2 linked regions of the Oryctolagus cuniculus genome follow. The protein of the gene in region 1 interacts with the protein of each later gene in a pairwise test. Links are inferred from orthologs where the notes say so. Each region holds a gene or a part of one and is shown on either strand. Other genes may lie near its edges. The genes, in order: SRSF11 and HYI.

Region 1 (15,961 bases):
TTGGGCCCTGCACCCCATGGGAGACCAGGAAAAGCACCTGGATCCTGGCTCCTGCCAGGATCAGCGCGGTGCGCCGGCTGCAGCGGCGGCCATTGGAGGGTGAACCAGCGGCAAAAGGAAGACCTGTCTCTCTCTGTCTCTCTCACTGTCCACTCTGCCTGTCAAAAAAAAAAAAAAAAAAAGCAAAAGAATAAGAACAACACCCTTTTCATAGCTTGTTTTACGAGAAACACTTCATAGGCTTCTACACCTGGAAAGTGAGATAACTCAAAAGAACCTAATAACTTCAGTAGACTTCAACATTGTGATTATAAGTGATCACTTTAAGATACAAGGACATATCTAGAAAATAAATTAAAATAGTAAAGAAATTGTTAGAATAACTCCTGAAGGGAATAATGTTCCTATTTGATGATTTTTAAGTGCAGATTCCTTTTCTTTCAAATGTAGATAAGAAAGAAGAAAAAAGAAGGCATTCAAGATCAAGATCACGTTCCAGGAGGAGGAGGACTCCTTCATCTTCTAGGCACAGGTTAGATTGTTTCTTACAATCACTTGTAATTTAGACAAAGATAATTTCTGTATGCACCTTCTTTAATTGCTGTAAAGCCACTACTTCCTGGTTAAAGTATGCTTCAGTAACAGTTGATGTTAACAGTGTGAATTTATGTTGGCATAAAAGGGGAAAAGATGCAGACTAAATAAATAAATTAAATCCAAAAAAATAGGTGGTATGATGAGTTGGTGCTATGAAAAGAATTTTGACTTGAATTCTAGACAATCTAAGTCTGTTAAATTGAGATTTGTTCAAATTTAGAATATTTGCAAATAATTCTTAAGATTATACTTAGTATTACCAGACAAGCTTACAGTATCATTCTTTTACTTATCTGGAGTAGAAGTAGATTGGCATCCCTTTGTGAATAAGGTTCTCTGGCCAACAGGCTCTTTAGAGTTGTAAAAAGATATATGAGAACTGTGTCAAGCAGTGAGTCACATCGGTCCGTGTTGATCATATAGAAATTAGAACTCATTTGAAATAATAGGGCTTTGAAGCAAAAATTTTAATGTATTTTTTCCCCAGGCAGGATTTCTGAAAGCAAGCATTGGTCATTTGGAAAACAAGAGATTCATTGCATTATAAAAGTTGCCAAATACTTACATTTATCTGTTCCTCAGTAGCAAAAAATATGGTACTTGATAATAGCACTGCATATCTCAGAAAAACTGAAGTGTTGGGAAACTTTAAATATAAATTTGTCATAAAAGCACAAGTTTTTATTACTGGCAGCAAATTTGGTTGTTTTCCTTGATATAATTTACCTCATTCATTTTTCAGGAAAATGTCTGCTAAGTAGCCAAGTTTAAGTAACCAGTTTGTTGTTTCTTGAAAGTGGTATTCATGAAAAAGCAACTAATTCAACTCACAACTTAATCACACAAATATCTTTCTTGATAGAGCCATCTAAAGTGATCTATAATTTCCATTTTATTGGAGATGTTACTCAAAAGGCTAACATTAATGTTGCTACTACTTTAATAGTATGCAAAGAACTAGATTTAATGAAATTAACTGCCTCATCAAAGCCACCTTTAGGGTCTGGTGATGTGGCATAGCAGGAATGCCAGCATCCCATATGAGCACCAGTTTGTGTCCCAGCTGCTCCACTTCCAGTCCAGCTCCCTGCTAATGCGCCTGGGAAAGCAGTGGAAGATGGCCCAGTGTTTAGGCCCCTGTACCCACATGGGAGACCCAGAAAAAGCTCCTGGCTCCTGGCTTTGGATAGGCCCACCTCCAGCCATTGAAGCCATTTGGGGAGTGAACCAGCAGGTGGAAGACCTCTTTCTGTCTCTTCCTTGCCGCTCAAATAAATAAGTAAACCTTAGAGAAAAAAAAAATGGTATTTGGGCCCTGCCACCCATGTGGAAGACCTCCATGAAGCACCTGGCCCAGCCCTGGCCATTGTGGACATCTGGGAAGTAAACAAGCAGATGGAAGTTCTCTCTCTCTCTGTCAACTGTGACTTTTAAATAAATAGACAAAATCTTATACATAACACTCCTTTAGTGAAAGTGATTTTTTCCTAGCTCAAATGCATTCAGAAACACAGATGACTACTAGCACAGTTTTGTTGCCACAGTCTTAATTTGTGATGAGGTGATGCCATCATTTTTAACTACCATTCTTTTGCATCACTAGTGAAAATGATGTCAACACACTGACAAAAGCATATAATACACTATTTTTAAAATAATTTTGACTTTACAGACCCCATAAAATCTTGGAGTAGTCAGAGTTCCTTAGCCACAATTTGATAACCGTTACTCTGTTATTCATCACCAACTGTTGCAGTGGTTTCTTGTTTTACTTGATTTCTAAACTCAATCCAGGTTGCTTGTAATTGCATTATAGTTGTAGAGTGGCATTCAGAACTAGAATACTCCAGCTGACCTCAGTTACTTCAACTAGTTTTAGATTCATTTTCCATATTTCCACCATTTGACTTTTCTTTTTAAGATTTATTTATTTGAAAGGCAGAATTAGAGGGAGAGGGATGGAGGGAGAGGAGGAGAGAGAGGTCTTCCATCTGCTGATTCACTCCCTAGATGGCCACAACGCCAGAGCTATGCTGATCTGAAGCCAGGATCCAGGAGCTTCTTCTGGGTCTTCCACACGGGTACAGGGGCCCAAGGACTTGGGCCATCTTCTGCTTTCCCAGGCCATAGCAGAGAGCTGGATTGGAAGAGGAGAGTAGTTGGGACTCGAACCAGCGCCCAGAAGGGATGCCGGCACTGCAGGCCAGCAGCCCCCACCATTTGACTCTTAAACTTTTTTTTTTTTTTTTTTTGGGTATTCTTCATCTCCTAGCTGATCTCATCTGAAACATATTTCTATCAGTTGTCTGCTTTCTCATAACTTCTTTTACTATCTTGGTTCTTCTTAACAATTTGTCATAAGTAGTTCCAAATATACCCTAAAATAAGAGATGATAAAAAAAGTTTATTTAGTTCAGTACAATGGGCTTTGAGCCAGTTGTTTTAGAGAGTTACAGCAATTGAAGCCTTTTACTGCATTAGTAAGAGGAAGAGAGTGTTGAATGTCATACATTTCTGCATGAAGGCACTGAGTTGTACTCTGTACAAGTGAAAGGTGCTATTTTTATGTAATAGAGATAAATGAAGTAACAGGATCAGAGAGATTAGATAATACTCCAAGTAACTTGGTTTATAAATAAAAGTTGAACACAATTCCATTTCTAGAACTTCTCGACTCTAGTACCCTGAAAATGAAAACATGTAGAAAGTTTAGGTATATTTGAAATATTCCACAGAAAGGACTTGAATGGTCACTAAAAATTAAGATATCAAGACTAAGCAAAAGATTGAGAATAACAAAGACTTGAAGGAGGAGGGCCGGTGTTGTGGCACTGGCACCACATATGGGTGCCGGTTGGAATCTCAGTTGCTCCAGTTCTGATTTAGCTCCCTTCAAGTGCTTTGGCCCCTGTACCTTCATAGGAGACCAGAGAGAAGTTTCTGGCTCGTGACTTTTGCCTTGCCCAGCCCCAGCTCTTAGGCCATTTGGGGAGTGAACCAGTAGATGGAAAATCTCTCTGTAACTCTTGACTTTCAAATAAATAAAACCTTTTAAAAGGGGGTGGAGGTGGGGGGTAGGGAAGAACAGTGACAGCATCTATAGGTTAAATGTGCTACTGAAGTTCTTGGAAAACCAAGAAGTGTTTATTGGATGGTTCCCCGGGGATGAGGATGATTAAAAAAAACATTTCCTTTCTTTGATGTAATGGAAAAGAGGATGGTATAGAGACTGTAATGTTGATGAGAAAATGAGAGTAAATGAGGCAATTTGTACATGATTAGAGTTTTTTAGACTATGGATATAAAAAGTGGAATTTCAAAGAACAACAGTTAGAAATAGTAAATGATAACATACTAAGTAGTTTGCATCTATAAAACAGGAATAATAATGGGACTTACTTTTTTTAGACTTCATGATTGCCTATTTGTCAAGCACATAGTAAGCGTAAGCATTTGATACTTGATAAATAAGGTTTAACTTGAGCCGGCGCCGGCACACCGGGTTCTAGTCCCGGTCAGGGCACCGGAATCTGTCCCGGTTGCCCCTCTTCCAGGCCAGCTCTCTGCTGTGGCCCAGGAGGGTAGTGGAGGATGGCCCAAGTGCTTGGGCCCTGCACCCGCATGGGAGACCAGGAGAAGCACCTGGCTCCTAGCTTCGGATCAGCGTGGTGCGCCGGCTGCAGCGCGCCAGCCACGGCGGCCATTGGAGGATGAACCAACGGCAAAGGAAGACCTTTCTCTCTGTATCTCTCACTATCCACTCTGCCTGTCAAAAAAAAATAATAATAATAAGGTTTAACTTGCAGTAATAATAAATAAAAGATGTTTTTCAGTATTGTACGGTTATAGAAAATGGTGCAATATCTTTCTTTTGTGTGTGTGTGTGTGTGTGTCATATAGTAGTAGTTTTAACTTTGGAGTTCTTGGTTCATTGGGTATGAGAGGACTGGTCTGACAAGTTGACCAATACAGTAAAAAAGAGGAGAAATTCTAAGTATTTAAAGGTATTGTTGCTGCTAGCATTGTGGTGTAGCAGGTAAAGCCACCACCTTCTAGTCCAGCATCCCACATAGACATCGTGTCCTGGCTGCTGCACTTCTCATCCAGCTTCCTGATAATGGAAAAGCAGCAGAGGATGACCCAAGTACTTGGGCCCCTGCCATCCACGTAGGAGACCCAGAAGCAGGTCAGGCTCCTGGTTTTGGCCTGGTGCAGCCCTGGCTGTTGCAACCATCTGGAGAGTGAACCATCAGATGGAAAATCTCTCTCTGTTTCTAACTCTGACTTTGAAATAAATAAATCTCTAAAAAAAAAAGTATTGAGATTGCAAGGTTTTTTGTTGTTGTTGTTGTTGTTGTTTAAGATTTATTTATTTGAGAAGCAGATTTACAGACAGAGGGAGAGACAGGTCTTCCATCTGCTTCTATCCCTAAATGGCTGCAACAGCTGGAGCTGAACCAGTCCAGAGCCAGAAGGTTCTTCTGCGTCTCCCATGTGTATGCAGGGATCCAAGCACTTGAGCCATTGTCCACTGCTCTCCCAGGCCATCAGCAGGGAGCTGGATTGGAAGCAGAGTATACAGGTCACGAACCAGTGTTCATATAGGATGCCAGCACCAACATGTTTTTTATATGGAAGGGAATATTCCCACTTAATTGGCAGTTAATTCATATGTCTGGGACTAAGTGAAATGTTTATAACTTAATATATCTGTTGGCTTCCTTTTACACATTTAGGCGATCAAGAAGCAGATCAAGGAGGCGATCACATTCTAAGTCAAGGAGTAGACGACGATCCAAAAGTCCAAGACGGAGAAGATCTCATTCCAGAGAGAGAGGTAGAAGGTCAAGGAGCACATCAAAAACCAGGTATAACAGACTCTTGACATTGGATAAGAAGAGAACTTTTAGAATTGCCAAGAACCCAAATACTGTGCTACTTAAATTACAAAAGAGGCAAGGAATTTTGGGAAGTTAAAACTAGACAAGAATTTCTTCCATTCCATTCAACTACTGCAAAGGATTTATTGCTGCCATGCATTTCTTGTATTATACTCAGAAGAAAAACTCTATATGACCATATGTAATATATTTGTCCTTGTATATCCCAGTAATCAATGAGTTCAAAGCATTTATTAAGTATCTTTGTTTGCCAGAAACTGAACCATACTAGAATATCTCTTATCCCATAATTTGGGACCAGTAGAAGGTTAAAATGAGGATTCATTAAAGCAGGTCCCCCACATTAATGTTTGATTTTTACTTAAAACATACTTCCAGTAACCAGTCTTTTATACAAAGTCAGTTGTTTTTAATTAGTATGACTACTGAATGTTCAGCCTATAATAGGCTTTTCGTTGTATATTAGTCAATCTCATTAGGCTAATCAAAACGAAGTTGCTTAAAGAAATGATTATCATAAAAAAAGAATTCAACATTCTTTCCCTTAAGAATATTCTGTTTATTGTTTATTTGGAGAGTGTGATAAAATTAAAAAGGAACCACTGTTAGGTGATGGTTGCCACTTGGCTAATGTTGTTGGAAGGGGCTTAATTGAGAAGTGACTCCTGAGTATTCAGTTTGCATCCATTTAAAAAGATTCTGTGGGGTGCATAGTTTCAGGTAGAGAATGGTGTTTGCAATGTTAGCATGAGTTTTTGAAATGGTGAATATTTCTATATAGGAGAACCAGTAAATAAATTCAGTGTAAGGAGACAGATCATAGAAAGGGTTGTTTTCAGACTGTGTTTGCACGTGATCCTGGAGGAAACTGGAATGGGAATAAACAGAGTATCTTGAAATTAGGCGATAAGTACTTGGAAAAACAGAAATGATCATTGAACAGGATGGCCAGTAGAGGAAGCAATGAAACAGAGAACATAGGGTGGGAAGAATGGCGTGAAGTAACAGAAGGAATACTTTGATCTCTAAAATTATGGAATAGGGAGCCGGCGCTATGGCACAGCAGGTTAAAGCCCTGGCCTGAAGCACTGGCGTCCCATATGGGTGCCGGTTCTAGTTCCTGCTGCTGCTCTTCTGATCCAACTCTCTGCTATGGCCTGGGATAGCGGTGGAAGATGGCCCATGGCCTTGGGCGAAAAAATGTTGTTTCAATAAAAACAAGTGTAAAGGAATCCAAAAAGAATTGAGTTGAGGATAATTTTAATACTAGTTCATTACAGTAGCACTGAATAGTCCAAGAGTATATAGCATCAAAACAAGGTGGAAGTGGGGCAGGCATTGTGCTTTAGCAGGTTAAGCCACCTCTTTTAATACCCACATCCTGTAATATCATGTGCCAATTTGAGTCCCAGATACTCTGCTTCCACTCCAGCATCGTGCCAGTGCACTGGGAAGGCAGCAGATTATGGCCAAGTATTTGGGTTCCTGTGATCCACGTGGGAAACCTGTATGAAATTCCCAGCTCTGGCCTCAACCTGTTTCAGCCCTATCTGTTGAAGGCATTTGGGGAGTGAACTAGATGATGGAAGAGATTTTTCTTTCTCATTTTGCCTTTCAAATAAATAAATTTATCTTTTTTGGGGGGTGATTATGTTTCTTGTTTTATGAAATACCTGTTTATTTCTTTTGAGCAGTTCTTTTTTTTTTTTTTTCCCAATGGGTCACCCCCCAGTGGACGCTCCAGCGGCGCGCAGCCGCCTGCGCACCGCGCTGCTCCGAAGCCAGGAGCCAGGAGCTTCTCCTGGTCTGCCATGCAGGTGCAGGGCCCAAGGACTTGGGCCATCCTCCACTGCCCTCCCTGGCCACAGCAGAGAGCTGGCCTGAAAGAGGGGCAACTGGGACAGAATCTGGCGCTCCCACCGGGACTATAACCTGGCGTGCCGGCGCCGCAGGCGGAGGATTAGCCTATTGGGCTAGGACAGCGGCCAAGGGTCTGTTTTGTTTTGTTTTGTTTTGTTTTTTAAGATTTATTTTTATTTATTTGAAAGACAGTTACAGAGAGAGGTAGAAACAGAGAGGTGTCTTCCATCCGCAGGTTCACTCCCCAGATGGGCGCAACCACCAGAGCTGTGCCGATCTGAAGCCAGGAGCCAGGAACTTCCTCCGGGTCTCCCACGTGCGTGCAGGGGCCCAAGGACTTGGGCCATCTTCTGCTGCTATCCCAGGCCACAGCAGAGAGCTGCATCAAAAGAGGAGCAGTCAGGACTCGAATTGGCACCCATGAGGGATGCCGCCACTTTAGGCGAGGGCGTTAACCCACTGTGCCACAGCGCCAGCCCCCAATAAATTGATCTTTAAAAAACTAACACAAAGATAGAATGGCTTCATCTGTGACAGAAGTTAACTTGGGCTGTATGTTTTACAAGAATATTGATGATGTGAGTGATTTTGGTAATACATTATGGGTTTTGGACTGATAGTGGAGGTGGTTAGAGAAAATGGTAAAGTCATCTGAGAAAATAAGAGACTGTTAAAGAGCCTCAAGACAATTATTAAAACTGTTGATGTTTAGCATCAAAACACAAAGAAATTAGGCAAAATCCTAGTTTCTTTCTCAAGACATACAGTATATTTGTACATTGGAAAGATGTCTTGAGTAAAACACCAGGAAAACGGAATTTTATTTATTTTATTTTTTTAAGATTTATTTATAGGCAGGCACTGCGACTTAATAGGCTAATCCTCCACCTGTGGCACCAGCACACCGGGTTCTAGTCCCGGTCAGGGCGCCAGGTTGTGTCCCGGTTGCCCCTCTTCCAGGCCAGCTCTCTGCTGTGGCCTGGGAGTGCAGTGGAGGATGGCCCAAGTCCTTGGGCCCTGCACCCACATGGGAGACCAGGAGAAGCACCTGGCTCCTATCTTCAGATCAGTGCGGTGCACCGGCCACAGCGGCCATTGCGGGGTGAACCAACAGAAAAAGGAAGACCTTTCTCTCTGTCTCTCTCTCTCACTGTCCACTCTGCCTGCCTGTCAATTAAAAAAAAATATTTATTTATTTCTTTGAAAGAGTTACACAGAAAGAGGAGAGGCAAAGAGAGGGAGAGGTCTTCCATTCACTGGTTCACTCCTCAGTTTGCCACAGTGGCCAGAGCTGTGTCGATATGGAGCCAGGAGCCTCCTCCATGTCTCCCACGTGTGTGCAGGGGCCCAAGGACTTGGGTCATCTTCTACTGCTTTCCCAGGCCACAGCAGAGAGCTGGATCAGAAGCGAAGCAGCCGGGTTGAACCGGTGCCAAAAGGAAATACAGGATTGTTTGGTGCAAAAAATTAAAGGATGGATGCCCTAGCAGTGAATACATTTCTTGTGATAAACATACCCTGTGTTGGAGTGCTTGGATTTATATCCTGGCTCCATTCCTGATTACAATTTCCTGATAATGCATACCCTGGGAGGTAGCTGTGATGGCTCAGGTAACTCTGGATTCACTTTCTGGCTCCAGGCCCAGCCCTGAATACATGCAAGCATTTGTTAAGTGAGCCAGCAGATTAAAGCTCGCTCGCTCTCTCTCTCTCTCTCTCTGCCTCTAAAATAAACAAAAAGCTGAATTCCATAGTTGTTTCATAATGCACATTTTCCATGAACTCTTAGAAGATCTGTCTGCATGGATTCACAGTTTTACACCAAAATAACTAAAACTTTAATTCAATTTTTTCATAACTTTTTGAACCCCACCTTTGCCACATGAACTAGTATCTCTAAAAATACTTTCTATCAGAATTGTAAATCATGCTTTTACAGGTGTTATTAGACATAATTTTGCTTTTGTTTTGATTTGTAGCACTATTTAAATTGCAGTTAACAGAACTTTGTAATGCCTTCTTGAATTGTGCTTGTTGATTTATTAGAGACAAAAAGAAAGAAGACAAAGAAAAAAAACGTTCCAAAACACCACCAAAAAGTTACAGTACAGCCAGACGTTCTAGAAGTGCAAGCAGGTAAGACAGAATTATGCATTCTTCACTTTTTGAAAAATGTTTTATTTCAGAATAATTTTAAATTTATAAAAATTGTGAAGTAATAATGTAAATGGTTCTGAAATATCCCTAACCAAACTTCCCTTATTATTTACTTTCCATATTAGCATGTTTGTCATAATTAATGAGCCCACACATACAGCTTCCCCTGTTTTGTTTTTATCTAAACTGCATCTATCCTTCTTAACCTTCCTAGCCAACATTCTCTGTTCAGGTTGAATTGAGTTTTTTGTTACTCAGTTTTAACTTTTAAGTATAAGGGAGAATATGTATGTCTTTTATGTCTGGCTAATTTTACTCACATGATGCCCTCCTGTTCATCCATCTACTTACAAAAAAATCACAATTTCACTATTTTTATGGCTAAATTATATTCCATTATATGTACTACTTTTTTTTATCCATTCATGTGATGACAGACACCTTGGTTAATTCCATAAATTGACTTGTGATGAATGAATGATGAATTAGGCATTTCTTTGATGCACTGATTTATATCTTTTGGATATATACCCTGTAATGCTAGATCATATGAGAGTTTTAAGGTTATTTATTTTATCTGAAAAGCAGAGTTAGAGATTTTCCATCTGCTGGTTGACTCCCCAAATGGCCACATCAGCTGAAGCTGGGCCAGATCGAAGCCTGGAGCCAGGAGCTTAATCTGGGTCTCCAATGTGGGTGCAAGGGCCCAAACACTTGGGCCATATTCACTGCTTTCCCTGGCCATCAGCAGGGAGCAGGATTGGAAGTGGAGCATCCAGGAATTGATCTGGTGCCCATATGGGATGCAGGCGGCAGCTTAACCTGCTATACCATGGCACCGGCCCCTAAAGAAATACCGTTAATAGATGACTGAACCAATTTACATTCCCACTAACAGTGAATGAGAGTTCCTGTTTCAGGCTGGCATCGTGATTTAATGGGTAAAGCTGCCACCTGCAATGCCAGCATCCCACATGGTCATTGCCTCATGTCCCAGCTGCTCCACTTCTGATCCTGCTCCAGGCTAAAGGCCTGGGAAAAAGTAGCAGAAAATGTCCTCAGTGTTTGAGCCCCTATCACCCACATGGGAAACCCTTATGAAGCTCCTGCTTTGGTGTAGCACTGCCCTGGCCATTGTGGCCATCTGGGGAGTGAACTAGCTGATGCAAGATATCTGTCTCTATCTTTCTGATTTTCAAATAAATAATAAAATTTTTTTAAGAATTCTTCTTTCTCCACATCCTCACCAGCAGGGGTGAGATGGTACCTCATCATGATTTAGATTTGCATTTCCCTGATGACAAGTGATATTGAGCCTATTTCTTCTATTTGTTGGCTATTTATATTTCTTTCGGCAACTGTTCAGGTCCTTTTCTCATTTCTTGGCTGGATTGGTGGTTTTGTTGTACAGTTTGTGAGTTCCTGGTATATTCTGGACATTAACCTTTTGTCAGATAAGTAGCACAAAAATATGTTCTCCCGGATACCTGTTCACTATTGATTTTTTCCATGTTTAGAAGCTTCTGAATTTAATATAATCCTATTTATCTAGGTTTGCTTTGTTGCCTGCACTTTTGGTATCTTACTCAAGAAATCATTAGTTACACCAGTGTCTTGAACTCTTTCCCCTATGTTTTCTTCTAATATTTTTGTAGTTTCAGGTCTTATAATTAGGTTTTTGACCATCTTGAGTTATGTATGTGTTGAGAGGTAGGGTTCCAGTTTGATTCTTCAACATATGTATTTCCAGTGTTGCCAACATTTATTGAAAAAACTGCCTTTTTTTCCATTGTATGTTCTTGGCACTCTTGTCAAAAAGCATTTGGTTCTATTTACATGTGTTAGCTTTAGAGCGGTGTATTCCATTGATCTCTTTGTGTTATTGCAATTTTATAGTGTCCTTAGAAATCAGATAATTTGATGCCTTCAGCTTGATTTTTGTGTGTGTGTAAGTAGGATTGCTCTTGCTATTCTGAGTCTTTCATGGTTCCATATCAATTTTGGCATTGTTATTTTATAGTTCTATAAAGAATATCAATGGTATTTTTATAGGAATTGCCTGGAATTTTTAGTAAGATGTACATTTTAATGAAATTCTTTCAATCCATGAGTAGAGAATATCTTTCCATTTTCTCTGTGTCCTTGTTGATTTCTTTTATCAATGTTTTGTAATTTTAATTGTAGAGATTTTACTTCTTTGGTTAAGTTTATTCTTTATGTTTAAATTTTTTTTAGTTATTGTGAATGTGATTTCTTTTTTGACTTCTCTTTTTAGCAAATGGTGTGTAAAAATGCTACTGTTTTTTATGTTTATTTTGTATCCTGTGACTTAAATGAATTAGTTTATCTCTTCTAGCAGCTTTTTGGTGGAGTCTTTTAAGTTATCCCATGTTTAAAAGAAAAATGGATATTTTGATTGTCTCTTTTCTAATTTTGATGCCCTTTATTTCTTTCCCTTGCCTAATTCTTGATGTTAGTATTCCCAATACTACATTGAATAAGGCTGGTGAAAGTGGATATCCTTATCTTGTTCCAGATTTCAGGGGGAAAATGCTTTCAGCTTTTCCTATTCAGTATGATACTGGCTGTTGGTTTGTCATTTATTGATTGCCTTTATCGTTTTGAAGTAAATTCCTTCTGTACCTAATTTTTTGAGGATTGTTTATCATGAAGAGATGTTCGATCTTATCAGATAGTTTCTTTGCATCTGTTCAGGTGATCAAATGGTTTTTGTTTTTTGTGTTAACATGATTTAGGGCATTTAATGATTTGGAAATGTTACATGACTGTGTCTCTGAGAAATCCTGTGTGACTATAATGTATGATCTTTTTGCTGTGGTGTTGTATTTTGTTTGCTAATATTTTGTTAAGAATTTTTTCATCTGTATTCAGCAGCTATGTCATTTTATTTTACCTTTGGATTTGATATCAGAGTAATGCTGGCCTCATTAACAGAGTTCCATCATTTTCAATATTTTGTGGTTTGAAGGGTATTGGAGTTTTGTAGAATTCAACTTTAAAGCCATCAGGTCCTGAATTTTTCTTTGATGGAAGAGTTTTAACTACTTTTTCAACCTCCTTATCTGTTACATGTCCGCTTACAGTTTCTGTGTCTTGATTTAATCTTGGTAGGTTGTGTGTTATGTTAATGGGGATATATTCATTCTTTGAGATTCCTCCCCACCCCCCTTTTTTTTTTAAGCTTTGCTCATTAGATTATCAGTCTGTGAATGTGAACTGTTTTCCAGACCTTAAATATTTCAGTGTTGAAAATACTTTGACTCTGTCTCTATTGGAAGTTTTTCTAGGTCAGTTTATGAAGAAAAACCTAAAGTTCATCTTTGTTTTTACCTTATATCAATGTGTAGAGTGTATTTGAAATAACATGGAGTTCAACAGAGGTCAGTTTTTTTTAATCTTACCCAGTTAAGTTTTAATGATTAAAGGATAGTGAACTGTTACATTAAATTACATTGATAAATTGGAAGACAATGCAAATTCTTTTTTTAAAATATTTATTGGAAAGTCAGAGTTACACAGAAAAGGAGAGGCAGAGAGAGAGAGAAATCTTCCATCCACTGGTCCACTCCGCAGTTGACCTCAATGGCTGGAGCTGTGCCAATCCAAAGCCTGGAGCTGCAGGGGCCCCAGGACTTGAGCCATCTTCCACTGCTCTCCCAGGCCATAGCAGAGAGCTGAATTGGAAATGGAGCAGCCAGGACTCAAACCAGCACCCATAGGGGATGCCAGCATTGCAGGCAGCAGCTTTATCCGCTATGCTACAGCGCTGGCCCCTGACAATGCAAATTCTGATTTCTGTCATTTGTTAGACTAAGGCTGTCTGACTACTTTCTATATCACAGCATTATTGAATTACTCTGTTATACCTGTTCTGTCCACTGAATGTTTAAATCTGAAACTGATTTCTTCAATAATGGGTTACTTCTGACTTTTTCCTCTTTGGTTTAGGATATTTGTTAATAAGTCTTTTTTCAAGTTTAATATTTTGTCAGAATTTCTTTAAGAACAATTGCCAGAAATTAGAGGTGCTCTTGAGCAGTAAAGATGGAAAAGTGCTCAGTTTGCAAGTGTCTATTTTACAACAGTTGTTTCATTAGAAGCATGTTGTAGGGATTCTTAGTGAAGCTGAGATCATACTGTATTTTAAAGCATAGTGTGTTCATTTGTGATTTTAGAGATAGACGACGACGACGAAGCAGGAGTGGAACAAGATCTCCTAAAAAACCCAGGTCTCCTAAACGAAAATTGTCTCGCTCACCATCCCCTAGGAGGTAAAAATGTCTTATCATTTAGCTCTAGCCTTGTATTTTTCAGGAATTTTCAGTTTTTTAAATTGTCTCATAGTTTTTCTTTTCTAGGATTAAAATGCTTAAAATGTCTTTTACTTGAGCCTTGGAGGAATGCACACTCTGTAGGATTGGGAATTTTAGTGTTTTGAAATTGGACCTTTGCTTTCCTATATTCATCTTGAGAATGCTGGATCAGACTCGCCATCTATACAAGTTATGTTTCTATACTTCAGGGTGAAACCTTGAGCAGTTCCTTTGAATCATTTTGAGCACATTTTATTTTAATGTCATTCTAGACATAAAAAGGAGAAGAAGAAAGATAAAGACAAAGAAAGAAGCAGAGACGAAAGGGAACGATCAACAAGCAAGAAGAAGAAAAGTAAAGATAAGGAAAAGGAACGGGAAAGAAAATCAGAGAGTGATAAAGATGTAAAAGTATGTTTACAAACTAACTTATTTAGGTATTTGGGGCGGTGTTGGTACTTACAAGAAGTGTTTCTTCTTTGAAGAAGTTTACTTTTATTATTCTCCTTGGCAAAGCAGGTTACACGGGATTATGATGAAGAGGAACAGGGATATGACAGCGAGAAAGAGAAAAAAGAGGAGAAGAAACCAGTTGAAGCTGGTTCACCTAAAACTAAGGAATGTTCTGTGGAAAAGGGAGCTGGTGATTCGCTAAGAGAATCCAAAGTGAATGGGGATGACCATCATGAAGAAGACATGGATATGAGTGACTGAATGCTGCCTCTTTGGGACTCCAACTGTGTACATGCATCAGTGTCATTCCTTTGTGTGATTTCTTAATGCTGTATTTGTTCATCTCAAACCTAGATGTATACAGCTGAGTTATAAATGGTTATAAAGCTTCTGACATTGATATTAGTTATTTACATCAAAAAGCTTTTAGAAAAATGGTACATGGGTAAACAATTCTTGTCATGGTGAAATCTGACTGAGTAAGCAGTTTTACTATTCTAGTGCTGCTTCTTAAATACAAATGAAAAGCTGCATGCATCTACAGCAGGCATGGATTGTTTATGTTGTATGATCTCCTTTCTTAAGTAAGTTCTCTTAGAGTATTTCTAGAATTTGATTCATTGCCATAATAGAGCCATGTAGGGAATGCACTGATTGCATGTTACTGTGGCAAGAATATCCTAAATGTCATTAAAATCTTCCAACATGATGGATCTACTTATGGTCTTGTTTGTTGACATGACAAATTAACATTGTTAGATTACATCTGGAAATGAGCATTTGAGATAGATAATCCTTTGAGCCTTATGGCTAAATTTTTGTGGCTTTCGTTTAACTTTGAAAGGTTGTCTGTATATGCACTAACCTTTTTTGATGGCTAATTAGGCTTTAATTACAGAAATAAGATTTCAAATAAAACTGTCTTTGGCAGTGAGTAAATAGCTTATTTTGAAGTAGAGTTGTATACTTTTTCATAAGGTGTTTGGGGATTTTTTTTTTTTTTCTGAAATAATTTATTCCACGTCTACATCAGTGAAAGCTCTCCAACTATTCGGAGTTCATCTGTAAAATAAAGTTCTCTCTTGTTCTGATTTTCAAAGTTTTAAACTCATTGATGAAAAAGAGGGTAGTGCATTTTAAATTGACCTTCATATGCTTTTAAAATAAGACAAATCTACTTGATAATGTACTTTTTATTTGATCTCAAGATGTATAAAACCAATAAATTTGTGTTAACTATTACTGCAGTAGTAATCATATGCACACAGTGATTCCATGTTATATGCAAAGTAGTTAGGCAACTGTTCCTAGTTACAGGAGTTTCAAGCTTCACTTTTGTGCAGCAAATACAAAAGTAGGCTACAGTCTGTGCCATGTTGATGTACAGTTTCTGAAATTGTTTTACAAGACTTTGATAATAAAACCCTTAAACTTATGTTCATGTTTCTGTAAAACTATTTGTATTTATTTATGCAATTGAATGTATGACAGTTACCTCATTCATTTTACAAATTAAGTTCTGTCTGTCTGTTTAAATACAGTAAGAAGATGAAATCCATCACATAGTTGATAGTTGCCATTAGAATTGTAAAAAATAATTTTTATCTGAAATGTCCTTAGCTTAGTGTAATCTTAATTTCTCATTTGGGGTGTGAGACT
Region 2 (16,455 bases), about 27 Mb from region 1:
AAAAAAAAAAAAAAAAAAAAAAGACTCACCTCGGGGAAGATGCGTCTCTCAGCTCATGCATGTGGCTGCTGGTGAGGTTGTGGGCCCTTGCCAGCAGCTGGCCATGTCCTAGTCAGCCTGGGCTGCGTTCTGCATCAGCCGAGTGGCTTAAACATTGGGAGTTTGTGTCTGGGAAATCCAAGGTCAAGGTGCCTGTTGTTTCGGTTCCTGCCCGGTAGATGGTTGCTTCTCCCCGTGTCCTCACACGGCAGAGAGCAGGAGGAAGAAAGTGAGCTGTGGTCTCCCTTCCTCTTCTTACCAGGACACGGGTCCCCTCTTGGGGTGCCACCTGCTGGACCCCGTCTAAAGCTAACCACCCCCCAAGCTCTACCTCCAAATACCATTACAGGGATGTGAGGCTTCAACATGTGACAGCCAGGACACCGTTGCTTGACACAATGGTCCTTCCATAGGCGTGCTCACACGAGGCAGCTGGATTTCCTTGGAGAAGCTGAATGAATGACTGAGAGAGGGCACTGGAGACAGAGGCCACCGCCTTCTCGTACCTTAAACTCTGAAGTGACATTGTGAGGTGGGAGAGGAACACGACCAAGCCCAGCCCCTCCCAATCTAATTCTGTATCCGTCTCCAGCTCCAAACCAGTCGGGAGCAAGGCGCCTCCAGACCCTAAGTGCAGAAGACCCCCTAACTGCTCTGTTAGGGACTTTCTGACCTGCATGCATGCCCAGAGTGACCCAGTGTGGTGGTGGGTGACCTTCCAGGGGTGGCAGTAGTGGGCAACACCACCGTTTTGAGTGTGCTGTGTGCAAGAACAAAATAAAAACAAAAGCATGGTTGGTTGCAGCAAAGTGCCCTATGCCAAGGGGGAACTGCCAAGCTCCCCCAATTCCATAAAAGTACCTGTTCAGCTCTTTTTTTTTTTTTAAAGTCATTTTCCTTTTTTTTTTTTAAAGATTTATTTGTTTACTTTAGAGGCATAGTTACAAACAGAGGAAAAGACACAGAGGGAGGTCTTCCATCTGCTGATTCACTCCTCAAATAGCTGAACAGCAGGAACTGGGCCTATCAGAAGCCAGAAGCCAGGAGATTCTCCCATGTGGGAGCAGGGCCCCAAGCACTTGGGCCATCTTCTACTGCTTTCCCAGGCCATCAGCAGGGAGCTGGATTGGAAGCAGAGCAGCCGGGACTCAAACCAGCACCCATATGGGATGCCGGAGCTGCAGGCAGATGCTTAACCTAGTAAGCCACAGTACAGGCCCCCCTGTTCAGCTCTTGATGGGGATGGGTAGGTGGCTGTGTTGTGTCCCTTGCATGGGAGCATAAGCCCCAATAAACTGTGTCTGGCTGCAGGTTGGCCTCTTGTCAGTTATTTGCAAGTGAGTCAAAGAACCTGGGCTCGAAAAAAAAATAAATAAAATAAAAATAAATAAATAAATAAATAAAGAACGAACCTGGGCTCGGTAACAGTTTTATCATTCTTTTTTTAAAGATTTATTTTATTTATTTGGAAAGCAGAGTTACCGAGTGAAAGGGAGAGACACAGAGAGAGGCATCTTCCATCTGCTGGTTCATTCCCCCCAAATGGCCACAACAGCCAGGGCTGCGCCAGGCTGAAGCCAGGAGCCTGGAACTCCATCTGGGTCTCCCATGTGGACGGCAGGAGCCTGAACCCTTGGGCCGTCTGCTGCTGCTTTCCCAGGTGCATGAGCAGGGCGCTGGAGCGGAAGTGGAGCATCAGGAAGCAGAGCTCATATGGGAGGCCAGCATCGGCGGCGGTGGTGTAACTCACTGCGCCATAACGCTGGCCCCAACGCTATCACTCTGCCATGTTCTGTCTGCCAGAAGTGAGGCACGCGGCCAGCTCGCACTCAAGGGGAGGGCAGTGTCCAGGGGCAGATACACCAGGGAGCAGAGCTCGCTGGGACCGTTTTCTAGGCTATCTGTAGTAAGTTCTGAGAAGGTAACACAAGAAAAGACCTCCGTACTGCGCTGGGGCGCGTTGAGCCTAAACATCTGCAATTATCGGGGTGAGGACTTGGTGCAATGTTTAAGCCTCCAGTTGGGTTGCCTGTGCCCCATCCTGGATGGCTGGGTTCAGGTTCCTGGTTCTGCTCCCAGTTCTGACGTCCTGCTTATGCACACCCGGGAGGCGGCAGCTGATGGGTCCTTGTCACCTACACGGGAGGCATGGATTGAGCTCCCTGCTACCGGCTTCAGCCTGGCCCAGCCTTAGCCATGGCAGGCATCAGGGAAGTGAGCCTGCTGATGGAAGCTCTCTCTGCCTGCTGCTGCCTTTCGGCTTCTTCTTGGACAATAATTTGGAAAAGCAATAATTATAGCCCAAACTATACAGACGACACAAACAAGCTGAGTCTGCAGGAAAAACCTTGCGACTACGATGATAGCACTTGAGAATGTTAATATAAAACGTGCTAGCAGGTGGTGGAAATGCACACAGAAGGCTTAAAAAGTTTGTTTTTATTGACTATGGGACAAATACGTAAAGTGGTATTTATAAAATACATGCAAGCCATAAAAGAGAGTGGTAAAATTAGGCTGCATGACTGGGAGAAGGGATGACAATGACTTTGGGAGGTGCTGACTTGCCCTTCCCGCACCCTGCAGGGGTCACCATCGTGCCACGTTGTGCTACCACAGACCTTTGCAGCGCCAAAGGTTTCCTTGCCCTTGGCCTTCCACAGATGCAATCACGTGCATTTCTGTGCGATTTACTGCCTTCTCTCACGACTGTGTTTCTGAGGTTTATCCATCGGGATATCTGAGGTTTATCCATCTTCATCTGAAGTTTATCCATCTGATGTCTTCACCATGATGTTTTCAATTTGAGCCAAACCTGACTAAACTCCTCACCCACTGCGCTGAGACAAGAGCAGATGCCGCCTTATCATTTGTGCCACCAGTCTTCCTGGTCACCTCCAGCTACAACACTGTATGACTACAACTCACCCATGTGTCTACTGTTGGACATCTGGGTTGCTGCCAGCTGGGGCTGGCACTGTGGCGTAGCGGGTAAAGCTGCTGCCTCCAGTGCAGGCTTCCTATATGGGCATCGGTTCGAGTCCCAGATGTTCCACTTCCGATCCAGCTCTCTGCTATGGCCTGGAAAAGCTGTAGAAGATGGCCCAAGTCCTTGGGCCCCTGCACCCGCGTGGGAGACCCAGAAGAAGCTTCTGGCCTCAGATCAGCGCAGCTACAGCTGTTGTGACCAACTGAGGAGTGAACCAGTGGATGGAAGCGCTCGCTCTCTCTCTCTCTCTCTCTCTCCCTCCCCTTCTCTCTCTGTGTAACTCTGCCTTTTTTTTTTTTAAAGATTAATTTATTTATTTGAAAGTCAGAGTTACAAAGTGAGAGGAGAGGAAGAGAGAGAGAGGTCTTCCATCTGATGGTTCACTCCTCAATTGGTTGCAACAGCTGGAGCTGTGCCAATCCGAAGCCAGGAGCCAGGAGCTTCTTCTGGGTCTCCCACGTGGGTGCAGGGGCCCAAAGCCTTGGGCTATCTTCTACTGCTTTCCCAGGCAATAGCAGAGAGCTGAAGCAGAAGTGGAGCAGCTAGGTCTCGAACTGGTGCCCATATGGGATGCTGGTGCTTCAGGCCAGGGTGTTAACCTGCTGTGCCACAGCGCCGGCCCCAACTCTGCCTTTCAAATAAATAAATAAATCTTTAAAAAACATTGCTGCTATGAACATCACTGAATCTGTCTCCTGGCACATTTGTGGCCAAGTTTCCTGCAGGAACATTCCTGGGAGAGGAACTAGTGGATGCAGGTACGTGGGCTTTCAGAGATGATGCCAAAGTGTTTTCCAAACTGGCTGTGGTGGTTCACACTCCCACCAGCAGTGAGTGAATAAACATCTCAGTTGTTCCAAATCCTATCCGATATTTGATAGTGCCTGCCTTTTTTATTTTTGCCAATCTTGAAGATATAAAATGCAGTCTCAGTGAGGTTTTGATTTGCACCTCACATGGGTGAGTGTATTCAGTGGCCAGGTGAGACTCTGAACTCTATACTCAAGTCTTCAGCTATACATTGTTGTCACCTTAACATTATGTTTGAGCAAATTCTTCAGTTGAGAGTTAAAGGCAGGGGTCATGGTTGTGGTGCATCCGGTGGAGACCCTGCTTGCAACACCAGCATCCCATATGGGCGCTGGTTTGAGTCCCAGCTCCACTTCTGATCCAGCTCCCCGCTAATGTGCCTGGGAAAGCAGTGGAAGATGGCCCACGTCCTTGGGCCTCTGCTACCCACGGCGGGGATCCAGATGGCATTCCAGGCTGCTGGTTTTGGCCTGGTCTGGCCCCATTTGGGGAGTGAACCAGCAGATGGAAGATCCTGCTCTTTCTCTGTCTCTCTGTTCTTCAATAAAATGCAAATAGATAAATTTTAAAGAAGAACAACAGCAACATTCAAAAGCCAATGCTTTCCACGGATACTGAACGTGTCCATTTATTCTGGTGTATTGTGTGAAGGTGTTGTGAAGGGATTGAGGGGGCAGTGAGCGGTGAGCCCCTCGTCTGTGCACCATCTCCACTGCACAAACGAAAGGGTTTGACCCCTGGAGGCTGAACGTGTCCCTGACACAGAAAGTAGCAGACAGGGCTGCTTTGAAAGGCTTAAATAGAAACTGCTTACTAAGAGATGTATAGGGGAGGGTTAATAAAGGCATTGCTCCTCCTAGCTGTTAGTCGGCACTGGCAATTTTGCATTGTAACTATGCTGAAGTCGGGATGGATTGAAATGTAACAAGGTGAGGTCACATCCTCATTGGACTACACCCAGGAAGCTGGTTCCAGGACAAGCCAAAGTTCCAAGTACGAAGTCAGCTGCACGTGGGCAGGCAATCAGGTGATCAGACGAGCTGGTGGCCGTCTGTTCTTAGGGGTGGAACTGAAGAAATGGCACCTGCCAGCGTTGGGATTAATTATAGGATCAGCCTGGACCCTAGATGCTCCAGTGGGCTTGACTTGGGCTGGAGTTGGGCAGGGGCAGGATAAATTGGGTGCTAGTGCTGGGTGCTGTTACTGTGTGCTTTGACCTTCTCTCTGCCAAAGTTAGCACAGAAAATAAACCAAGATGACTTCAACTCATGGATTGTTGGAGTATAAGCCTACATTTTTGCAAAGCAATTTATAACAGCCATCAAGAGCTGAAAAAGATTCCCCATTTTTTGACCATGGAATGCTACCTGTAAGAATCTGCCTGCTCAGTTGGGTTATTGTAGATTAAAGCAAATTCATTCAAATTATCTTAAGAAAGGCTCTACAGAAACCTAGGAAAATGCAAGCATCCAGCCTCAGGAAGTGCAGGCTGGGGGTGGCTGCGGGCACAGCGGGGGTTCTCAGGCTGTGCCTCTGCTCCCAGGGCTGCCATCTCTCTGCTCTGGCTTTTCTTCACCATCTGACTCTTGCTTCTGAAGCTGCCACGGCCCCAGTCAGGCCCCAGTCACCTTCCGGCAAGATCACCTCTTCACTGGACTCTCAGCATCTCCTGGTTAACTCTTGAGAGCGGAATCTGATTGGCCAATCTTTCCAAACAAGGCAAGCAAGACTCTCCTGGCAGTCTCTGGGTTGGCTGCCCTGGGACCAGATGTCCTCCAGTGGTCCAATGTGCTCAGGCTCAGGGGGCCTGCCCACAGTTGCTTAGTGAGGTGGCCAGCGGCAGGCCCAGGTGTCCACATAAATGTCAAAGGCTGTGGACAGGCAGACACTGTGATGGACATCTCCAGAAGAGGAAACTAAGACAAAGAAGGGGACCAAGAGGTGCATGGACGTGTTCTTCTAGAGCGCGCGCGCGCGCGCGCACGTGTACACACACACACACACACACACACACACAGAGTGCCCGTCTACTGTGATAATTACGAGCTGCCTACAGTGATGGCTTTTTTAAAGAATACTAAAGAACACGGGAACAAGGTCATAAAATAACATTACAAGAAAAAAAAAGGCAACAAAGCTGCACATACAGGATGATCAGAATTTTCTAAGAAAAAAATTGCACATGTACTTTTTAATCCGTATGGGAAAGCTAACGGGTTAGCTGTGCGGTAAGGGACGGTATAAAAGTTCTTTGTTTGGTGGCACAGATCTCATTTTTATAATGGGGACATTATACACGTTCAGCCACGGCAACTGGTCCCTGGGGCGCCCGGCTGTCTGTCTCCCCACGGGCCCCGCCCCTCTCGCTCGCCGCGCCCCTCCCTGCCCCCACCCCAGCGCCTTTCTGGCGGCGCCAGGCTTCGGCTACCTCCGTGCGCGGCCCGCCGGCTTCCGCCTTCCGGTCGGCGCGCGGACTCTGGCCGGCCCATGCTCGCACCATGGCTCCGCTGCGCTTCTCCGCTAACCTGTCCTGGCTGTTCCCCGAGCTGCCCGGCCTTCCTGCGCGGCTCCAGGCCGCCGCCCGCTCCGGCTTCGAGGCGGCCGAGGTGGCCTGGCCGTACGCAGAGGACCCCGAGGCGCTGGCGCGCGCGGCCAAGGATGCCGGGCTGCGGCTGGTTCTGATCAACACGCCCCCGGGTGCGCTGCGGGGCCCGGCAGGGCGCGCGGGCCGCGCGGGTGCCCGAGCTAGCACCGAGCCGCTTTCTCTCCGCAGGAGACCAAGAGAAGGGGGAGATGGGGCTGGGGGCCGTTCCCGGAAGACAGGTGGCCTTCCGAGAGGGGCTGGAGCAGGCCGTGCTGTACGCCAAGGCCCTGGGCTGTCCTAGGTACCCTGCCCCCGCCCCTCCCCCTTGGTGACCTGACCCTGCCTCGGGTCGAGGTCGGGAGCTGGAGGGGCGGGGTGGGGCTTGACAGCGCCCACGTCAGAGCGCCCCGGCCCTCACCCCCTCCAGACGCGGTCCTTCTGTATTTTATCTGTCGTGTGCTGTCCCGTTCACCACTTTTGTGTCATCCTATGCCGGGGTGCGGCTCAGTCAGTCCGGGGAGATAGCAACATGTCCAGGGCCCACAGGAAGCTGTGGGAGCAAGGCAGGCACCTGAGCTTGTCTGGGACCAGAGAAAGCTGCTCGGGGAAAGAGGGCCCTTGGCCTGAGTGGCAGGTCAGAGAGGCAAGAGGAAGCAGTGAGGCTGGGGAAGCCGTGAGGCTGGGGATTGGTCTGGGGTTGGGAGAGCCTGGAGCTTCTGCTGCCAGATGCCTGTGGCTGAAAAAGACAGGTGGCGATGGGGAGAGAGGTAGAAGGCGTAAAGGGGCTGGGCCCACCAATGTCACCTCCTACAGAGGTCACACAGGCTGAGCAGAGGTATCCTGGTGACACAGGGGCACTACTGGGGCATGAGGGGAAGGAGAGGAAGCAGGCAAGCAGCCAAGAAGGGCGAGGTCAGGATGGCTTTTAAAGATGAGACCCAAGCCTGCTTGGGAGGACCTGGGGATGGGAGGTTGAAAGCAGAGGGGGTGAGAAAGGATAGACTTCCAGGGGTTGCCGGGAAGATGTCTGGGAAAGGCCTGGGCCTCAGGCCGACACAGGAGTGTCTCGGGGCTCTGGGCCGGACTGCATGCTCACGGAGATGGGTGAGCCAGCATACCCAGAGCTGTCCTGGCAGCGCTGTGTGGGGAGCCGAGGGAGGGAAGGCTTCTGGTCCCATCTGCCCCCAGGGTTCACCTGATGGCTGGCCGAGTACCGCAGGGGGCTGATCGGGCAGCAGTCCGGGAGGAGATGGAGACGGTGTTTCTGGAGAACCTGAGGCATGCGGCTGGGGTTCTGGCCCAGGTGAGACGAGTGGAGACACATGTAGACATACTGCGTGTGTACTGGAGCGGGTGTACAGTGGGGAGAGCACACGAGGCAAAGGCAGGCGCTGGCCAGCGAGAGGCTGGCAGGGGCAGCCTTGGGGAGCAGCTGTGCTCACGGCATCTGACACGGTGCCAGGAGAACCTCGTGGGACTGCTGGAGCCCATCAACACCCGCGTCACGGACCCCCGATACTTCCTGGACACGCCCCAGCAGGGTAGGACCCCTGGCCCGCTCTGTCCCTTTTAGTCCCTGTGCTCTCTGAGTCTCATAGCCCCGGGCTCGGCTTCTCCCCCAGCGGCAGCCATCTTGCAGAAAGTCGGAAGACCCAATCTGCAGCTCCAAATGGTGAGTGGATGACGGGGAGTGCTGAGGGCCCACGTCCCCAGATGCGGAAGAGCAGGGCCTGACCAGTGCTCCGGTCTCCAGGACGTGTTCCACTGGCAGATCATGGACGGGAACCTGACGGGAAACATCCGCGAGTTCCTGCCCATTGTGGGTGAGGGTCCGCTTCCCAGTGCGAAGTCCTGTGCCCACCTTTCAGCTTCCCCTTCTGTCCCTCAGGCCTTGGTGGGAGCCTGGCCCCACATCTGCCCACATCTGTCCCCAGGCCATGTGCAGGTGGCCCAGGTCCCAGGTCGAGGGGAGCCCAGCAGCCCCGGAGAGCTGAACTTCCCCTACCTATTCCAGCTGCTGGAAGACCAAGGCTACCAAGGCTTTGTGGGCTGCGAGTATCGGCCCCAAGGTGAGGGGCAGAGAGGGGATCTGGGCATGCTCAGAGCCCTGGCGGGACAGGCAGTGCATGGGCCAGTTTCCCTCTCCCTGGGTAGAAATGCCACTCCCACTCCCTCCCGCAGGAGACACCGTGGAGGGTCTGAGTTGGCTCCGTTCCTACTGGGACAGGCGGGGCCGCCCACAGGCTGACCAGTGAGGCCCTGACACCACCCAGATGCCTCTCAGGGCCAGGGACTGAGAATCCCAAGTCTGAATTAAAGACGCCTGCTGACCATTTTCATGTGTCTGTTATGGGTCTGGGGGGAGGACACATAGTGTCTAACACTTCCGTTTCTCTTGTGTCCCCGTCCACTGAGGGGACGTGAGACAGCTCACACTGACTCCTCCAGTCGGTGCCAGGGCTCTGAGCGGCTGGGAGAGTGCTGGAGCCCATGTCCTTTACAGATGAGAAACCACGGGTCCAAGAGCAGAGGGGCTCGGTGGTGGTCCTGGGTGCTTCAAAGGCAGAGCTGGGGTTGGAACCAAGAAGGCTAAATGTCCAGGTCGAGAAGTGACGCCCAAGGTGGGCAGGTGGCCCACAGTGGTCAAGACTGGGCAGCAGGATTTAGGAAGGGGAGCTCTGCTGAGTGCTCACCACCTCCTGTGAAGAACCAACTCCCGGACGCCACCAGGGAGCAGGAAGGAGGAGTCCTCTTCTGGAAGGGCCCAGCGGTGATGGGCACCTCAGGCAGCTGGCCTGACCCTCTGGAGTCTGCGGCTGGGCAGCGGCTGTGCACGTTTAGGGCAGGCAGCCCTGAGCCTTCAGGGACACTCAGCTTCTCCTGCCATGGGCCAGAAGACCTGGTCAGTCCTGCCTCGGGGGCATTGCCCAGTTGTAGGATTCCAGTGGTGACTCAGCGCTGCCTCACAGGAGGCGGGTCCACAGGGTGAAACAGGCTGTGTTGATGACGGACTCCAGGTGGTGGTAGGTGGAGACCAGCTGGGCAGGGGGGCTCTCGCTGTCCTGGGACTGGACGGGGAAGGGCTCTCGGAAGACCACTGTCAGAGACTGTGGGAAACAGCGGGTGTGCTGGTCAGAGGAGGCTGTGGGTGGGGACAGGGAGCAGGGCTGGGGAAGAGTGGGTACCCCAACCTCAGCAAGCTCCCAGGTGGAGCACTTAGGGTACGGCCTCCCACTGGCTGAACCCCCTCTTCTCACCGTCTTTCCCAGGTGCGAGTCCAGAAACACTAGCACAAAACAGTCAGTGAACTTCTGGTTCAGCACAACCTGCAGTGAAGCACACAGGGGGCTGGGGTGAGGCCGCCCCACGGCAGGGGCAGGGGCAGGGGCCACAGCCTCCTGTGGGGCACCTGTGGAGACCTGCCCTCACCTGCACGCCTGTCACTCAGGCTCATGTTGCCAACGTGGACCTCTACCTGCACCCTCCCTGGCTTGCCAGCCTGTCTGCATCTCCTCAGGACGAGAGCAGCACTCGGGCCAGAGATGCTGTGCAAAGCCTGGCACACTGTAGCCAACCAAGGAAGGAGGGCTTGCCACCCTGGGCACAACCCAACCTTGTCACCTGCCTGCTCCTGGCTCTCAGCACTCTGGCCTCCTGTGGGCCAGTCCCCCTCCGTCCACCTGCTCCCTAATGCACAGCTACGTGATCGGTCCCGTGGCGACTTCTCTTCCCCAGCGCCACCCCCCCCCACCCCCCCACCAGTTCATGCTCCGCTCCCGGCTGGTTCTCTCCCCTGAGCTTCATCTCTTCTAGACGGTGAGGAGCCTCGTGGGCTCTCAACCTGACCCTGCTGTACTTGGCGCCGTTGCCCCCGACCCACTGCTGCTCAGTGTTCTCGCCACCCAAGGAGCACCCCCACCTGCCCCTGCCACCTGCACTGCTGAGCCTCACCTGACTGGCTGCAGCTTCACTACAGGGCTCTTTGTATATCTGGAAGTGAACGGGCCCATGTTGCAGGACCCCTCGCAGGCCCCGACTGCTTCCGCATTGGAAGGCTTCTCCACCTGCTCTCCTGGCCCCAGCGCTCGCTGGGTGCACCTCCCCACATGCCTGTCCACCACCGTCACTCCTGTCTAGAACGTGGGACACATCCCCAGCGATGCTGCCAAGATGCAGATCCTGAGTCTGTACGTGGAGTGGGACCCGAGAGGGACGCTGATGCTGCTGGTCTGTGGACCACACACTCTGAATATCGGCTTTAAGGCCCAACACATGCTTTCCGGTCCTCCACTTCTGAGCCCAGGTGCTAGGTTCTGTGTGCTCCGAGGGCTGTCAGTCCTGAGCTTGGCCCCGGAATCTGACGCCAGGGTTCAGGCTGTTGGTGAGCCTTTGTGGACAGAGTTCTTGGGTAATTCCCAACAAATCACCTACTGCAGCTCGATGCTCAGTGCTCCGAGGGTTTTATCCTGTTCCATGTAGGCCTCCCTGTGGTCAGCCTGGGGCTCCTTGAGGGGACACCTGTCACCTCACTTGAGGATTCCTGTTTCCCCCTTTCAGAGGTGCTCAGGGGGACTTACCAGGTACTGAGTTCCCAAGTCTGGACTCTGGAAATGGCGACAGCTCTGAGGGAAGCGGCTTAAGAGAACCTTGATCAGGCTCTGGTACCAGGAGACCGTCATGGACAGGAAGCAGTCCTGGGAGAGGGTGCACAGGCCTGAATGCTGTCGCAGTCCCCATGGAGACTCCTGTGCCCTCCATGCTGGCTGCTTGTGGAATGCTGGCACCCACCCCAGCCCTGTGTGGAGGCCCCAGGTCTTACCAGCTGGGGGTCAATGTCACCAATGGACTTGGCATGGACTGCTTCCAGGAGCTCCTCCAGCTCTGCCAGGGCAAGGCGACCTCCCAGCCGCAGCCGATCAGGCCCCGGAGGCTCCAGCAAAAAGAGGCGCTTCCAGAGGGTGTCCCGACGGCAGTGGCCTCCAGCCAGCCGGACCAGCTGTGACAGCCGTGCTCGTGCCATACCCACCTCTGCGGCCAGTGGTGGGAACAAAGGGGCTGCTCCAGAGGCTAGAGTAAGCCCTGAGGCCTCCCCGGGGCTGCCAGCTGAGCTCCCTGGAGCCTCAGGCTCGGGGGGCAGCCTGGGGGGCTTCCGAAACCGGCGCATGTCAGCAGTGAGTCTTGGGAAGAGCTCTCGTTGGCTGGTGAGCACCACGAAGAACTGCAGCCTGGGTGGGGAGAGGGGCGAGAGCAGTGATCAGGGCAAGAGCTGGGGGCAGGTGGGGCAGTGGGGGTATCGCAGGCGGGGATCTGCTGACCGCAGGACATGCCGCTCGGCCTCTCCTTGCTCCTCAAAGGGTGCGGCACAGTGACAGACGAGCAGAGACACGTCGAAGTCGTCCTGGTGGCGAAGTCCCTCGGAGTCCAGGTAGGAGCCAGAGCTACACGGTGGGCGGGATGTCAACCTCAGCCCTGTTCTGCCCCAGAAGACGTGCGTCTCCCTCCCTACTGCAAGCACCGCCCAGCCTCAGCCCCGGCAGCCTCACCTGTGCCATGCCGACACCAGGGCATATTCGTTATGCTCTGGGCCCCCTGGCCGGGCCATGCGCAGTGGCTTCATGTGGTAAGAGCTGGCGTGGTCAGCCACGTAGTTGTATAGCTGGTGGGCGGCGATCAGTGGTGTGGGCAGCTCCAGTGTTCCTGAGGGGAAGTTACAGGAGACAGCAGACACTGAGCCTGGGATGGGAGTAGCCAATGCCTTGTTTTCCTGGGGACACTGAGGTGGGATGAAAGTGGCTCAGAATAGAGGCAGGGTCCACATACTACAAAGTCCAAACTGTGACATGAAACTGACAGTGAAGAACCTCAGACGCAGGACAGAGCATGGCAACATGGTATGAATGCGACGAGGTGACTAACAGTAGGGGACCACTCCCCCTGGCGGGGGGAGACACCTGGTGGCCTATTCCTCTTCTGGCCTGCCCTTGGCACGAACCTTGGTAAATGTGATTGCGGCCAAAGTGGGGTCCATCAGGGTGGTGGGCCAGGAAGTGCCGCAGGAAGGTGGTGAGGTGGTAGCCGTGTCGCAGCACCAGGTGGGCGCCCAGCACGTGCTGGTGCACGAGGCGCAGGTGGAAGTCGTAGCTGAACGAGTGGACATGCATCAGGTCCCTCACCTTGTCGCACTCCTCTGTGAACAGCATGGACAGCTGGGGAGGTGGCAGCAGGGGACGATGTGAGGGTGTGTGGCACAGGTGGCCCCGCACACACTTCCCTCCTCCCAGGGGAGCCTCATGCCCCTTGCTGCTCCCCAGCAGAGTTCTCTGTGCCAGCACAATGGGTGGGGGATGCTCCCCTCCTCACATCTGCATCTTTCCCACTGTGCTCTAACTGTTCTGAGACTGGGCCTTCGGCTGGGTCTCGGGTTCCACTAGAGTGTGGCACGGACCCACTGACGCAGCAGGTATTTGCTGCGTATCTGCCGTGTCCCTACCAGCTATTGTTGTAGATGCCGGGGGTCCCTTGGGGAACAGAAACAAGCCCCTCCCCTCCAGGAGCACAGTCTAGTTGTGGGCGATGAGACGCATCAGACGAAGTGAGTCAGTTGCACAGAGGATGCCTCAGAAAATGGTGCTGGGGAAGATCAGGCGGTGGTCTGGAGGGCAGGGGGCGCACAGTTGCTGCAAAGCTCTTCCTGCTCCTTCCCTCCTCGCCAGCCTCATCTTCCCATCGTTCTGAAAGCTTCATCTGAACATGCCTGCCAGCGCTGGGCCGGGCATGGGGCAGGAGCTTCTGATGGAGATCACCTTTACTCAAAGTGTGTTAACAGGGGCCGGCGCTGTGACGTAGTAGGTTAAGCCTCCACCTGCAGCGCCAGCATCCCATATGGGTGCTAGTTCGAGTCCCAGCTGCTCCACTTTCAATCCAGCTCCCTGCTGACGTGCCTAGGAAAGCAGTGGAGGATGGCCCAAGTGCTTCAGCCCCTGCACCCACGTGGGAGACCTGGGGGAACCTCCTGGTTTCAGAGCAGCTCAGCTCCATCTATTGTGGCCATTTTGGGAGTGAACCAACAGATGGAAGACCTTTCTCTCTGTCTCTCCCTCTCTCTGTCTGTAACTCTGCCTCTCAAATAAATAAATAAATCTTAAAAAAAAAAAAAAGTGTGTTAACAGCTGGGTGAGGGCTGCTGGAGTGGCAGACTGCATGGCCCGCTGCTGGGGGCATCAGGCTTAGGTGTTAACAGGGAAGGCGAGAGGTTCTGTCTTGATGTCCTCCTGCACCCTGGAGAAAATGTGAAGGTCTTCATAAAGTTAGAGGGGATGTGCTAAACGGGAATCAGTCAGGATGAGTCCCCAAAACCGTCATGGACTAGCTGTGTGTCTTGGCCCCACTCACGTAGCCTCTGTGAACTGAGTGTCCTTATTTGTGCAGTGGGACTGAAATGCTCCTCTTTGCTGAGTCCACGCTCACACACCAGTCACTTGAAACAGCAGTAATAATGAGGCCATCTAGAAACCCGAGTGTGCTTAGCGGTCAAGTGGGTGCTGGGTCAGCCGGAGATCGGGGCAGGGAAACCAGAAGGAAGCTGAGGAGCATAATGGGGTGGGGTCTTCCCTCTAATGCTACAGGCAGGTGTGAGAGGACCTGCTCACCCGTGCTCCCTTTTGAGCACGCTGGCCCAGGTCAATTCCTACATACAACGTCACCATGCTTTTATGGGGTCCTCTTACCCTGGGGTTTCTTGTGACCAGGTATCCATACTCAAGTCAAAGGCATCTATGGGCTGGAGAGGAACTGTCCAGACCTGAGGGCTCTAGACAATGGAGAGGTGTCTGTCTTGTCTGTACTGGATCCAAACAGATCCTGATCTCTCAGAAACGAGGAGAAGGCACAGGCCCTCGTGTGCTGCTCCTGGCAACATGTAGGAGCTGCACTAACACAAGTATAGCAAGAGCTTCAGGGCCCTGACTCATTCTGGCCCTGGCCCTCCTGGGGTACAGAGGCCCCACCCTGGGCAGAACTGGGGTATGCTGTGTGGGAGAGAGCCCTAGTCCTTACTCTAGGTGTCAGTGACTGTGCTGACAACACCAGGACGCCTCAACTCCCGACTGGGCCGGGGGCATCCACCTAAACACGGGCTATCCCTTGTGCTCCAGTGTCCCCGCTGTCCAGCTGTCTGTTACGGATGACCACAGTGCCAGCAGGACCAAGCCAGACCAGCCACTAAGCTGGACAACCTTTTGCCTCGGTGCAACAGTTGGATGGACTTGGACTCCAGGGTCAGATGGCCAGTGGGTCTAGTCATGGTACCAGAATGACAACTGGCCTAGTCAGGACATGGCACCAGATCAGTCACTGGGCCGGCCTACTCACAGCACACTGGGGCCGTACTGACCGTGCCTGAGCCTGGGTCGCCCCATATTCCTGTTCTTGCCACATACCTGAGAGTTGACAGCCTGCCCCATTGGGATCCGGGAACATTCCAAGGCAAACTGTTTGACACAGAAGTAACAGCCCTGGAGGGAGGAAGAAGATGAGGTCAGGAGGGCAAGATACAGGGAGGCCTGGCGCTGCCCCCCAGTGCTCCCCAGCTCACCTGGAAAGTCAGCTCCATGAGGATGATGCCCCCGGGCAGTGCCCGCTGCAGGTGGTAGGTGGTGACGGAAGATCCAGAACTCTGAAGACAGGAGAAAGAGGGCAAGGGCTGGGGACTCGCCAGCCTCGAACCAGCAGGGTGGAAGGCTCCTGGGTCCTTGACTTTAACAGTGCAGTGACCTCAGTACATCATGCAGGGCCACCGGGAAATGTTTCAGGACCAGTGGCACTGGAGTCTGGGTGCTGTTGGCTTTGTTACATGACAGTGAGTTACCTTGGGGCTCCCCTCAGTCTTGGTTTTCGGGCAGGAGAAGGAGCCTCGGCCCTCTGTTCCAAGGACAGCCATGGCCCGCAGCCGGCTGGTACTGCAGAAGGGGAAGGGGGAAACGAGGATGAGTAGGCTGGAGGTGAAGCCTTGCAGCTGTCAGCCCGAGTCCACTTTACATGGAATCATTTTGCAGGACAGGAAATAGGCCCGTGGAGGGGAGCAGCTTGGCCAGGTCCATGGTGAGTAGGGGCACGGCAGGGCCCAGAGTGCAGGCACAGAGAGCAGGGCAGGGCTCCTGCAGCTACTGCTGCCAGGCGAGGCGAGGACAGTGCCCCTCAGGAAGGCTCCCCGACTCGTGAGGGCGAGGCAAAGGCAGGAGGCCTTGAGGCATGTCTGAGATTCCATTAGAAAGATCCAAGTGTGTGAAGGTGCTTTGCTCTCATGACTGGGGAAGGCTGGCTGGTCCTCACAGACGAGCAGCAGGGAAGGCGCCACCAGCCCAGCAAGGATCAACCTGGAAGGCTGAGGAGGACCCACCTGTTCCCCGGGGAGCTACAGAACTGCTGGGGTCAAAGCCTCTGGCAGAAGAAACAGCCCATTAAACTCTCAAGGGAATCAAACGAGACTGGAAGTAGTAATGGGTGATCACTAAAGACTGGTAAGGAAGGCAGGCCTGACTTGAATTTTTGTTCCAGAGACTTTTAAAACACAGTTGTCGTATTTTAAAAAGGAATTCAGGCTGGCGAGAAGGACATCACTGACTGGACAGAGACCACACTGAGGACTGAGAGAGGCTCCTAAAGCAGGGGACTGGTGGCGAGGGGCAGCTCCTCCCCAGGGCACGGGAGGGGGCTCACCTGCGGGCAGGCGATGGGGGCCGCAGCGGCACCAGCGCGAAGCCCGTGCTCTGCAGGTACTGCACGTACTGCTGCAGGAAGGCCAGGCTCAGCTCCTTCAGCCAAGGCTCCTCCCGGGCTCCCGGTGGAGGCGCATCCAAGCACTCGCAGCTGCTGGGGGCCTCCCGGCTCCCAGACCCCAACTCGGGCCGATGGCGTCGCTGTGGGAGATTAAAGGGGGTTTGACCCGCTGTTGACCACCCTGCCGGGGGTGAAGGAACGATGACCTCACAGGAGAAAGCTGAGCTTGACTCTCACCTGCCCCTCAAGGGGCCCC

The links.
Region 2: the proteins of SRSF11 (region 1) and HYI interact in binary tests that used the Homo sapiens proteins (3 or more experiments, as listed by UniProt). The two-hybrid records come from large-scale screens. The link is inferred for Oryctolagus cuniculus from reciprocal best matches to the Homo sapiens genes SRSF11 and HYI.

Annotation. Positions count from the first base shown.
Region 1 is NC_091438.1:102,131,926-102,147,886, reverse strand, and holds part of SRSF11 (serine/arginine-rich splicing factor 11), read left to right. Parts: intron 1-450; coding exon 451-532; intron 533-5,333; coding exon 5,334-5,465; intron 5,466-9,404; coding exon 9,405-9,494; intron 9,495-13,711; coding exon 13,712-13,807; intron 13,808-14,121; coding exon 14,122-14,260; intron 14,261-14,365; coding exon 14,366-14,563; 3' UTR 14,564-15,961. UniProt on the Homo sapiens protein: May function in pre-mRNA splicing.
Region 2 is NC_091438.1:129,577,037-129,593,491, forward strand, and holds HYI (putative hydroxypyruvate isomerase), read left to right. Parts: upstream 1-5,937; 5' UTR 5,938-6,336; coding exon 6,337-6,535; intron 6,536-6,611; coding exon 6,612-6,723; intron 6,724-7,610; coding exon 7,611-7,725; intron 7,726-7,884; coding exon 7,885-7,963; intron 7,964-8,044; coding exon 8,045-8,094; intron 8,095-8,175; coding exon 8,176-8,245; intron 8,246-8,356; coding exon 8,357-8,491; intron 8,492-8,603; coding exon 8,604-8,677; 3' UTR 8,678-8,755; downstream 8,756-16,455. Other genes in the region: KICSTOR complex protein SZT2, read right to left, coding at 9,386-9,529, 9,680-9,748, 11,000-11,116, 11,242-11,647, 11,738-11,860, 11,966-12,119, 12,415-12,628, 14,861-14,935 and 4 more. UniProt on the Homo sapiens protein: Catalyzes the reversible isomerization between hydroxypyruvate and 2-hydroxy-3-oxopropanoate (also termed tartronate semialdehyde).